Saccharomyces cerevisiae S288C: one gene and its partner. The gene in region 1 interacts genetically with each later gene. Each region holds a gene or a part of one and is shown on either strand. Other genes may lie near its edges.

Region 1 (5,993 bases):
TTCAGATCAAGTGCTAAATGACTTGTTGTATCAGCTTTTAAATTTTTACATCAAGACAAATCAATTATTCGTATTATTTCGTCTGTAGTTGAAACAGAGTTCAATAAGCCAAGAGTTTTGAAGCAGCTACAGGCAAGAGGTACCGAAACACAGAAAAAAGTAACAAGAAAACTCTCTCGCTCTATATATATGTGTGTGAATATACGCTATTTATACACATATATAGATGAGCGGCGTGCATGTATCGTAGTAACTAAGATTAATAGTTCTTAAAAGAGATAAATAAATCATTTAATTAAAAAACTGATTTTTAAGCGGAGGCACCGTAGGTTTGAAGGTATTGTTCGATCTTGCTTTTCTCTTCTGCTGTTATTCTGCCTTCCAAATAGGTAATTATGTGAATTAAGGAGACAATGCTCAAGACTGGGATACCGTATTTTTTGCTAACAGTTTGAGTGGCGCTGAGTCCTTCTTTATCGTCAGTACTCACAACTTCCTGTCTATCAAGAGCAATTATGGAGCCAACTACCTGACCCTTGGCGTTACTGATGATCTCAAAGGCCTCGTTAATGGCAGTACCAGCAGTCATGACGTCGTCGATGATTAATATTCTCTTGTTCTCTAGGGCAGAGCCGACAATGATACCACCTTCACCATGATCTTTGGCTTCCTTTCTGTTAAAAGCGTACTGAATGTTTTGAAATTTAGAGCCACCAATCTCCGCCAATTTCACACAAACAATAGCAGCAAGTGGGATACCTTTGTAGGCAGGACCGAAAATCACATCAAATTTCAAATCAGATTGTATGATGGCAATTGCATACGCAGTAGCCAAATTGGAAAGCAATTTACCAGTATTGAACAATCCCAAATTAAAGAAATATGGCGATTCTCTACCTGATTTCAACTTGAATGAACCAAATCTTAGAGCCTGGCATTCGATGGCCAACTCTAGAAAGTTCTTTTGGTAGTCTTCCAACATAATAGGCATTTTGAATAACTTTCTTAATCTTTAATTTTTTTGTGTATCCTTCATACAATGTCAGACACAATAATACGCAACCAAAATTCCGTTAGTAGTATATCGCAGAAGTAATGCTTTATGGAAATTTTGAATGAATCTTATTTGACAAATAAAAGCCTGTTAATAATAAGAAGTGTCTTTATTCAAAAAAGGAACGTAAAGTTGGAACAATGATTGAAATACCCCACAAAATTCTCCCAAAAAAAAAAAGACAAAATGCAATTTCCTTTTGAAATGTATTCAAAAAATAAATTTGTTAAAAACCTCTGATTGATGATGAGATCAAACTACCAAACAATTGTTATCAAATCAAAATGCTCTTTGTTTTGCTTATTGAATATGGAAAATGTTTGAAAAATTTTCAAGCGCTAGTCATTCGGAACGAAAGTAACTGTCATCTTGAAATCTATGGTAAAGGAGAAATAAAACATTATTCCCCAGGAATTGACAGGAAAGTAGGGCAGTTACTAATGGAAAAGGACGCATTGGAGGTTAGACTGAAGTCTATTAGACATTCGCTGGACAAGAATACCAAACTTTTACCGGGAAAATATAGGAATACTCTAGGAGAGCGACTTATTACCAAATGGAGGTACAAGAAGAAATCCCATAATGGCAGTTCAATGTTGCCTGAAAAATGTAAGAGCCACGTGCAATTGTATGATGATTTGGTACAAGAAAGCTCTAAACATTTTGTTGGTTTCCGATTACACGATCTTCGGGCCTTGTTGAAAAGAATATGCTCCATTCAAAACTACACAAGGCATGTGCTCATTGAATGGGACGTTCGATGGGTCAATCCACTGACTCTAGCATCCAAGGGCTGGGAGCCGTACCAAAGTGCATCCCAGTCGCAAGTGCCATTTAAGTGCTGTTGTTGCCATGCCATTATGACAATTCCTTTATTAAAAAATGGCGATGATGTCGCCGATTACACCATGAAATTGAATGAAAAAATCTGGAATTCCAATATAATTGGAAATCATCTCCAAAAGTGTCCGTGGAGGGAAAATCAGGTTGATTTAAACAAAGAGTATTATTTAAGCTCACAAAACCTTATAAGGGAAATTGAAAGAATTCATACAGAAATTGACAGAATTGTTTCCGGATCAAATGAATTTAGCCTTAAAAGAAACTCTTCCCGTATATTTCATTACTTGTCTGAGAAAGAAATACAAAAATTGGCATTTTTTTTCGATTGTAAAGACTATTCTCTCGTAGGTCTGTTGCTTCTCGGCTACACGAAATTCCAGAAGGATGATCTGGTTCAATGCACGGCTTGCTTTCATCGAGCATCCCTGAAGAAGTTAGAATATACAGAATTTAACGGACACGCTCTATGGTGTCGGTATTACAACAAAGAGTTGTTGCCCACAATGTTGCTGGAGTTAATCGGCAAGGAGGACAAACTAATAACGAAATTGGGCGTGGGAGAAAGACTAAATAAATTAGAGGCTGTTCTACAAACTTTATAAATTAGATGTAATACATTATCCAAATTCTCATATGCTTGTATATGCCCCCATGCTGATGCGCAGATTCTGTCACTCTCTCTTTAAATTACGTGCACATATGCATACGCAACAGTCACGTTATATTCATGCAAAAAACCGAAGCAACATCATTATTTCAGTTATTCTCTTCGACAAATTTCTTTACTTTTTCGACAACCTCTTCAATTTCCTTATCTAGCATAAGTACAATTAAACCATCGCTACTAATTTCGTATTTGATATGACCTTCGTTCGGTATACATATTTCGGCATCGAACTTATCAAACCAGGTATTTAATTCGTCCAGTTCGTCAACATTAAATGGAAGTATCAACTCGTCAACAAATTCATGCATTTTTCCCGGCTTACCTTTCAAAAATTTTTCATCTTCTTTATTTATCTTGGTGTCGTCTTCTAGTAAGACGAGCATCCTATAAGTATTACTCTTGGACATTTCGTTTTTCTCTTTCGTCTTAGTGTAGTACGAGATAGAATTCAACCGCAAGGTAGCCTTGCTGTATTGGACAGATCATTCGAATTTGTTCCAAATAGGATGAGATGAGGTCGGCTTTTCTTCATTCTCGCTAGAAAATTTAAAAAAAAAGAAAAAAATAATTACATAAATATATATTTATATGTATATACTGTAGTCCTTCCTTGCATGAAAAGACGACGTTTTTCGTGATAATAAGAAGTTTGACACTAAAAGGGCATCCTTACAATACTTGAAATATGTGGCCTTATATAGGTATCTATCAATCTTGTAAACAGTTATGAGTTAAATGTCTGGAATTAAGATTGTGCCATCAGAATCATTTTTGTCCATCATTCCCAAGGCAGAATCACCATTGAAGGCTATATCTCCAGTGCCCACCTGCTCCATGTATAAGGTATGATTGACTAAATTCAAGTAGGAGTACATGAAGTTACTTAGCAATACTTGTTGTCTTAATTCCCTCCCGGGATCGCTAAGCTTCAGATGGCTGAGTCTGTAAATAGCCCTTTCAACATTAATTCCTAGACGATGGTCAAACATAATCACTGTAGAGTTGGTTATCATTGGTAATGGGAATCCAAAAGCACTGTCTGTGAATTTTATTGGAGCGTTTGAGTAATCTGGTTTAACGACATCTTCAAATGTCAATTTTCTTGGAGGCAAAGTTGAGATTTGAGGGGCAGTAGGTGAAGTGTTGTCTTCTCTCTCTGCTCCTATATCCTCTTCTAGTCCAGCTGTCGTATCTCTACTGATACTAGAGTGCACTTCGACGTCGTAGTTTACATCACCACCACTAATATCAAATGAATCGTCGCCATCTAACTCGCTTATAGTTTCCACCACAAATTCAGAACTGTGGCTAGTATGGCTGTCAGGAAGAAGGGTGGAAGCATTTGAACTTCTCACTTCTGGTTCAATGACGCTTGCTGTATCTATATCTTCGGTGGTAATTGTTTTGGTGGGGGATGAAGGGCGTTCAACTTCCGCTTCTTGGGGCTTTTTCTTGGGACTTTTCCTGAATTTTGATAAACTCGAATGCGAAGCCTTCTTTTTCAGTTCTTTTTTAACACTTTTTTTGATTACTTTCACATCTGATTTGCAGGTACCATTATGTTGTTTTCTTTTGAATAATTTGGCAAGCCTTTTCTCCAAGGAATTTTTCTTATGTGTACTGGCTTGGGTGTCAGTAGGCAGTTCTACCTTTTTCTCCACGACTGCCGGTGCAGTAGGCTTAGATGGCTGGGATTCAGATGAAGAAACGACTGAAGGAGTGATTACCACGGATTTTGCTTCTTCAGAATGTATCTGGAAAATTGGCGAATGTCTATTTTTGGAATGGTTTATTCTTTCAGAGGCACGTTTGGTAGATTTCGCTCTCCTCGATACACTCAAGTTAACAAAGTCAGCTTTTTCATTGTCCACACATTCTTCATCGTCTTCATCATCTGTAAGCTGTTGATAAGTTTGTTCATTAGCGTTCAAACTTCCATTGCTAGAATTCAACCATGACCAGCCATGATTTGCTTCGCTGTTATTGGTATTTGATTTTTCACTCGAGCTAACGTGCTGATCCAATTTTTCAGAAATCATCGAACCAGTGTTATGCGGCTTTATTAAAACGCTGTTGTTAGAACTATCTGTAGATAAAAGACTGCTCTCTTGAGAAATAGATGCATGTGTCAAATCTTCTTCATCCGAATAGTAGTTGGTGCTATCAACGTATTTCTCATTTTCGGTACTCCAATCAGTACTTGTTCTTCTGTAATGGTCGAAAATCTCGTGAAAATCATTCAATGATGCTTGCTCCTGAGGCACTTGTGTGTAGGAGGCAGGCGATGATGCACTTCTGCGATTGTCATTAGTTTGTATATTCATTAGGCTATTGAGTTTTACCGCCTGTGGAAGGCTACTACCCTCTAGTCTGATCTTATATGTGTTGAATTTAGACCTCCTTAGAGAAGATCTCTCTGGTATGGTAAGTCCAGTTTCATTAAACATATTTGATGCAAATTCGTTATCATTTTCAGTGTGATTGCCGTTCAAATGAAGACTTTCGTTGGTAAATGACCCTGACATGCTCAAGCTTCTGGCTAAAGTCACCGCATCTGAGTCCGTTAAACCGGCATTATTGGAAATCTTAGTAAGCTCTTCAGTAATTTCTTTCAAAGATACAGATCTTATGGTTTTGATGTCAGATGAGGATATTCGCTTATCCACTTGTATTTCTCCTTCTTGTGGTTTGTCTGCAAGGGGAGGTTCGTCATCAAACTTGGTATAAGATGTCTTCAACCGAGAAGGCCTTCTAACTACAGAGCCCGTGCGTTTTCTATTCGAAATTACATGATTGTTACCCAGTTCTAATTTGTTTTCATCAATGTCTTGATTTGTGCTTATTTGAATGTTTTGTAAAGTGTCCTGGATCAATTCCAAATAGTTTTCGGGCTTAACGTTAGGATGTTGGTCAGCGGGCACCCACAAAAGGTTTTGAGTTAAATCAACCATTTTTGAATCGTGGTCGTTCTCCACATCCAATACAACATCGTGAGCCAATGTCTTTACTCCACTGAGCCTTCTGTTCCTCGACGTTACTCTTGCTGAAGATGAAGTGGATGAAGAAGCATTACGGATGATTTTTTCCTTCTCCAATGTTTCTTCATCATGCAAATACTCTGTTTGAGTGATATCTATACTGTCGTCGACATTAGTAGCATCGCCCTCTTCATATGCATCATTGTCTTCGCTCCCTTGTTCTTCCTTTTGTTCTGATCGTATAATGTTCTCTTCATGGAGCGATTCTTGAAGGGATTCCTTTGAGGAATCTGAAGAATATGAGTTTCTACTGTTCACTTTGAACTCTAGCTCAGGGTCAATTACCAAATCCATTGAACCAATCGACAATCGCTTCAAATTTTTCACATTCTGAATTTCTGTATCTAAAGACTTGGCAGCAATTAACACGTCAGATTTCCTCTTCTCAAAA
Region 2 (5,376 bases), on another chromosome or scaffold:
CCAGGTGAATTGATGGGTCTCTATCGCCTCTTTAAAGAAAGAGGTAGCGGCCAAGTTGATTGGCGTGATCTAATTGAACCAGTCGCAAAGCTGGGAAGCGTGGGTTGGCAAATAGGCGAAGCACTCGGTGCCACTTTAGAACTTTATGAGGATGTTTTCCTGACATTGAAGGAAGATTGGTCGTTTGTATTGAATTCTACCCATGACGGTGTTTTGAAAGAAGGCGATTGGATCAAGAGGCCGGCACTATCTAACATGCTAATGGAACTGGCTAAAAATGGTTCCGTGGCCCCATTTTATGACCCCGATCACTGGATTGCAAAATCCATGATTGATACTGTCGCAAAATACAATGGAATAATGAACTTGCAGGATGTTTCATCGTATGATGTTCATGTTACTAAACCACTGTCCATGAAAATTAGGAAGGGCGCCAATTTCATCCCTGATAACGATATGACCGTATTAACAAGTAGCGGCTCAAGTTCCGGGGCTGCACTACTTGCGGCGTTAAGGATAATGGATAATTTCCAGAATCAAGAAGGGGGCGATTATGAAAAAGAAACTACCTATCATTTGCTTGAAAGCATGAAATGGATGGCAAGCGCAAGAAGCAGGTTAGGCGATTTTGAAGGCGAAGCATTACCTAAGCATATAGAAGAGGTATTGGATCCAGAATGGGCTTTGAAAGCAGTGAAATCAATCAAAAGAAACTCTCAAGACGGAAATTTTAAAACTTTAGAAAACTGGACGCTTTATGATCCGGCATACGATATCAATAACCCGCATGGAACTGCCCACTTCAGTATAGTAGATTCACATGGGAATGCTGTTTCCTTGACAACCACCATCAACTTGTTGTTCGGTTCCTTAGTACACGACCCAAAAACCGGGGTGATCTTCAATAATGAAATGGACGATTTCGCTCAATTCAACAAATCTAATAGTTTTGAATTGGCACCCTCCATATACAACTTTCCCGAGCCCGGGAAAAGACCCCTATCATCCACTGCACCCACTATTGTGCTGTCAGAATTAGGCATCCCAGACCTCGTGGTCGGCGCTTCCGGCGGCTCAAGAATCACTACGAGTGTTTTACAAACAATTGTGAGGACGTACTGGTATAACATGCCTATATTGGAAACGATAGCCTATCCACGTATACACCACCAGTTACTGCCCGACCGCATAGAACTGGAAAGCTTCCCCATGATCGGTAAAGCCGTACTAAGCACTCTCAAGGAAATGGGATATACGATGAAAGAAGTATTTCCCAAGAGCGTAGTTAATGCTATACGCAATGTCAGGGGAGAATGGCATGCGGTGAGTGACTATTGGAGAAAAAGAGGAATCTCCTCCGTATACTAAGATGTGGGGTAAGAATGGTACTGTAATATAGTTCAAGATAATAGTACGTAATGTAGGGAGCCTGCTTCTGTGGTATATAAATAAATACTGGGCTTGCGTTTATTTTTAAAGAATCAATATTTACTTTTCATTAACAAAGGGCATACGCCCTTAAAACAAAACAAAAAATCCAGATCATGCGAGCTTTGCCTTTTTCAGTAAGTTTCCCTACCTTGCAGCCGAGACGCGACTTCGGAACGATGCCAGCATACGTATTTACCATTATTAAAAAAATCTGATGGCTTGATACTGCGCGTTTCTTTTTATAGCATTAATACGCACACATACGCGCATTGTTGTTTACTATAAATAAACCGTGGGGACCTGACCCAGTCATCCTCCCTGTGTTTACAGTGCGGTGCACACGAGCCTGAGACAAGCCCGTAACCAGGCGCGTTGCCGCAAATACAGAGGCGCCCCAGACAACACCGCAGTGTGAAGCACTGTCAATTTAAAACCGTGGCTTGCTGGAGATGCCCAGACCAACCCTGTTGGGTTTTTCTCTCGAGCACGCCGTTATAATTTTAGCGTGTTCCGTACCTGTGTGCACATCAATAAGCGGTGTAACAAACTTGAACTTGCCATCTCATATCGTCATATGAGCAGTTGCAGAGAAAGGCACTTTAAATAAAAAGGCGTGGATGATAAAAAATGTATATAAGTTGGATGGATTTTTGGGAAAAAGTAATGTTTTTGCAGACGTTTTAAATACTCCCTCCCTTTTCTTAGTAATTTTTATTATGTATTGACTAAGTCAAAAATAACTATAGAAAACTAAAGTTTACGAGAGGACCCAAAAGTTTTGAATAACACGTGCCTTTGATTTTTTGTTTACTTTCTTTTTCTAGTTAATTACCAACTAAAATGCTTTCGCTTAAAACGTTACTGTGTACGTTGTTGACTGTGTCATCAGTACTCGCTACCCCAGTCCCTGCAAGAGACCCTTCTTCCATTCAATTTGTTCATGAGGAGAACAAGAAAAGATACTACGATTATGACCACGGTTCCCTCGGAGAACCAATCCGTGGTGTCAACATTGGTGGTTGGTTACTTCTTGAACCATACATTACTCCATCTTTGTTCGAGGCTTTCCGTACAAATGATGACAACGACGAAGGAATTCCTGTCGACGAATATCACTTCTGTCAATATTTAGGTAAGGATTTGGCTAAAAGCCGTTTACAGAGCCATTGGTCTACTTTCTACCAAGAACAAGATTTCGCTAATATTGCTTCCCAAGGTTTCAACCTTGTCAGAATTCCTATCGGTTACTGGGCTTTCCAAACTTTGGACGATGATCCTTATGTTAGCGGCCTACAGGAATCTTACCTAGACCAAGCCATCGGTTGGGCTAGAAACAACAGCTTGAAAGTTTGGGTTGATTTGCATGGTGCCGCTGGTTCGCAGAACGGGTTTGATAACTCTGGTTTGAGAGATTCATACAAGTTTTTGGAAGACAGCAATTTGGCCGTTACTACAAATGTCTTGAACTACATATTGAAAAAATACTCTGCGGAGGAATACTTGGACACTGTTATTGGTATCGAATTGATTAATGAGCCATTGGGTCCTGTTCTAGACATGGATAAAATGAAGAATGACTACTTGGCACCTGCTTACGAATACTTGAGAAACAACATCAAGAGTGACCAAGTTATCATCATCCATGACGCTTTCCAACCATACAATTATTGGGATGACTTCATGACTGAAAACGATGGCTACTGGGGTGTCACTATCGACCATCATCACTACCAAGTCTTTGCTTCTGATCAATTGGAAAGATCCATTGATGAACATATTAAAGTAGCTTGTGAATGGGGTACCGGAGTTTTGAATGAATCCCACTGGACTGTTTGTGGTGAGTTTGCTGCCGCTTTGACTGATTGTACAAAATGGTTGAATAGTGTTGGCTTCGGCGCTAGATACGACGGTTCTTGGGTCAATGGTGACCAAACATCTTCTTACATTGGCTCTTGTGCTAACAACGATGATATAGCTTACTGGTCTGACGAAAGAAAGGAAAACACAAGACGTTATGTGGAGGCACAACTAGATGCCTTTGAAATGAGAGGGGGTTGGATTATCTGGTGTTACAAGACAGAATCTAGTTTGGAATGGGATGCTCAAAGATTGATGTTCAATGGTTTATTCCCTCAACCATTGACTGACAGAAAGTATCCAAACCAATGTGGCACAATTTCTAACTAAGTCGCCCTCAGTCCGCTCATTTTAGCTGAATTTTCTAATGTTATTTTTCATCAGCAAAACTTAACAGAACGTTAATTTATCTACCCCTTTTAGTTCATTATCTCTTTTTTATCCAACATTTTACAGAGATCTCTCACTTAAGTCTAAGTAAAGACATTATTTTATATGGTACACTTATAGAATATACGATAATAATAATAAAAACTATGTAACATAACCTTCAGAATTTAATATTAGTTTCCTTTTTACCTCATTGCACTAATAAAAAAATTCTACAGAATCTCCGAAAAAGAAAATCCAGCTTACTCTTTTTGTTTTCTTCTTCACACGTGAGCTTTTCCGCCGGCATACGTTCCGTTCCGTGTCGTCTTGCATAAAATTTCCGAATCACATGTTCGTAAAACAACCGGAAGTGCCCCGAATATAAAGTCAATTCTCACCGCTGTTGTAACTGGAGCTTTAAGGTGTTATCTAAGGAAGGATAAAAGAACTTAAACAACAACAAACAAAAAATTAAGTTACAATGCCAGCATTATTAAAAAGATTATTGTTTCAAGTGGGTCCTCATCCAAACGAAAGAACATTCACCTTATCCTCTGTTTCAACTGATGGGCACTATATTTCCTTGAGACCATTTGTTAAGCCAAGCGGTGATGAGTTATCTTTTCCTTTCGAATGGGCCTTTGCCGGTACAAACGAAACAGTTAAAGCTAATGATCAAGGAAACGGTGTCGTTACTCAAGATTTCAATTTCTGGTTGGATACAAATGTGTACTTGAACGTTCCAAACACCCATCGTGGCGAAGTGAACACCACTTGGAAAAATTGGGATTCTGGTTGTGTCGAGGAAACAGGCGCTGTTTACCCATTCGGTGCCGACAAAGAAAGCGTCTCTTTCAGAGAATTGTGGCAACCAGTTGACCCATCAAGAGAAGATCTAGTCATCGTCTCACCAAACAATGAGAAGTTCTCGTCGAATGCTAGGTCAATTGTCCTCAAAGTTACTGACGAAGCTTATGATGGTTTGGTTATTGTTATTGGTAGATGGATTCAAGGGTTTTTGTCCCAAAAGAATAATAACACTATTGAAGGCTTGAACTTCATCAGATTACTTGAAAAAGATTCAGGTAAATCTGAGTTCTTATTAAGCTACGGTAAGGAAGTAAACAAAATTCCACAAAGCTACGAAAATTTGAAGAAAGGTTCCACTGTAACCAGCAATGGGTTGAACTGGGAAGTTATTGAATATCACGCTTAATAAAGGAGAATAAATCGTTTTCTACTTTCTTCTGCTGCTATAATAAGCACCTATGGGATCTATATAGTATTTTTATAACGATAGACTTTATAAAAGAAAATACCTAAGTGAAAATTTGGTGAATTTTGAGATAATTGTTGGGATTCCATTTTTAATAAGGCAATAATATTAGGTATGTAGAATATACTAGAAGTTCTCCTCGAGGATTTAGGAATCCATAAAAGGGAATCTGCAATTCTACACAATTCTATAAATATTATTATCATCGTTTTATATGTTAATATTCATTGATCCTATTACATTATCAATCCTTGCGTTTCAGCTTCCACTAATTTAGATGACTATTTCTCATCATTTGCGTCATCTTCTAACACCGTATATGATAATATACTAGTAACGTAAATACTAGTTAGTAGATGATAGTTGATTTTTATTCCAACACTAAGAAATAATTTCGCCATTTCTTGAATGTATTTAAAGATATTTAATGCTATAATAGA

Evidence for each region. Genes that interact genetically often act in the same process or in processes that back each other up.
Region 2: mutations in YML108W (region 1) and HRI1 together harm fitness more than expected from each alone (negative genetic interaction), as found in Saccharomyces cerevisiae (2 studies listed by BioGRID).

What each region holds. Positions count from the first base shown.
Region 1 is NC_001145.3:51,771-57,763, reverse strand, and holds YML108W (uncharacterized protein), read right to left. Parts: upstream 2,972-5,993; coding exon 2,654-2,971; downstream 1-2,653. Other genes in the region: orotate phosphoribosyltransferase URA5, read right to left, coding at 311-991; PML39 (Pml39p), read left to right, coding at 1,495-2,499; ZDS2 (Zds2p), read right to left, coding at 3,296-5,993.
Region 2 is NC_001144.5:726,684-732,059, forward strand, and holds HRI1 (Hri1p), read left to right. Parts: upstream 1-4,141; coding exon 4,142-4,876; downstream 4,877-5,376. Other genes in the region: ECM38 (gamma-glutamyltransferase), read left to right, coding at 1-1,368; EXG1 (glucan 1,3-beta-glucosidase), read left to right, coding at 2,272-3,618. UniProt on the Saccharomyces cerevisiae protein: Unknown. Non essential.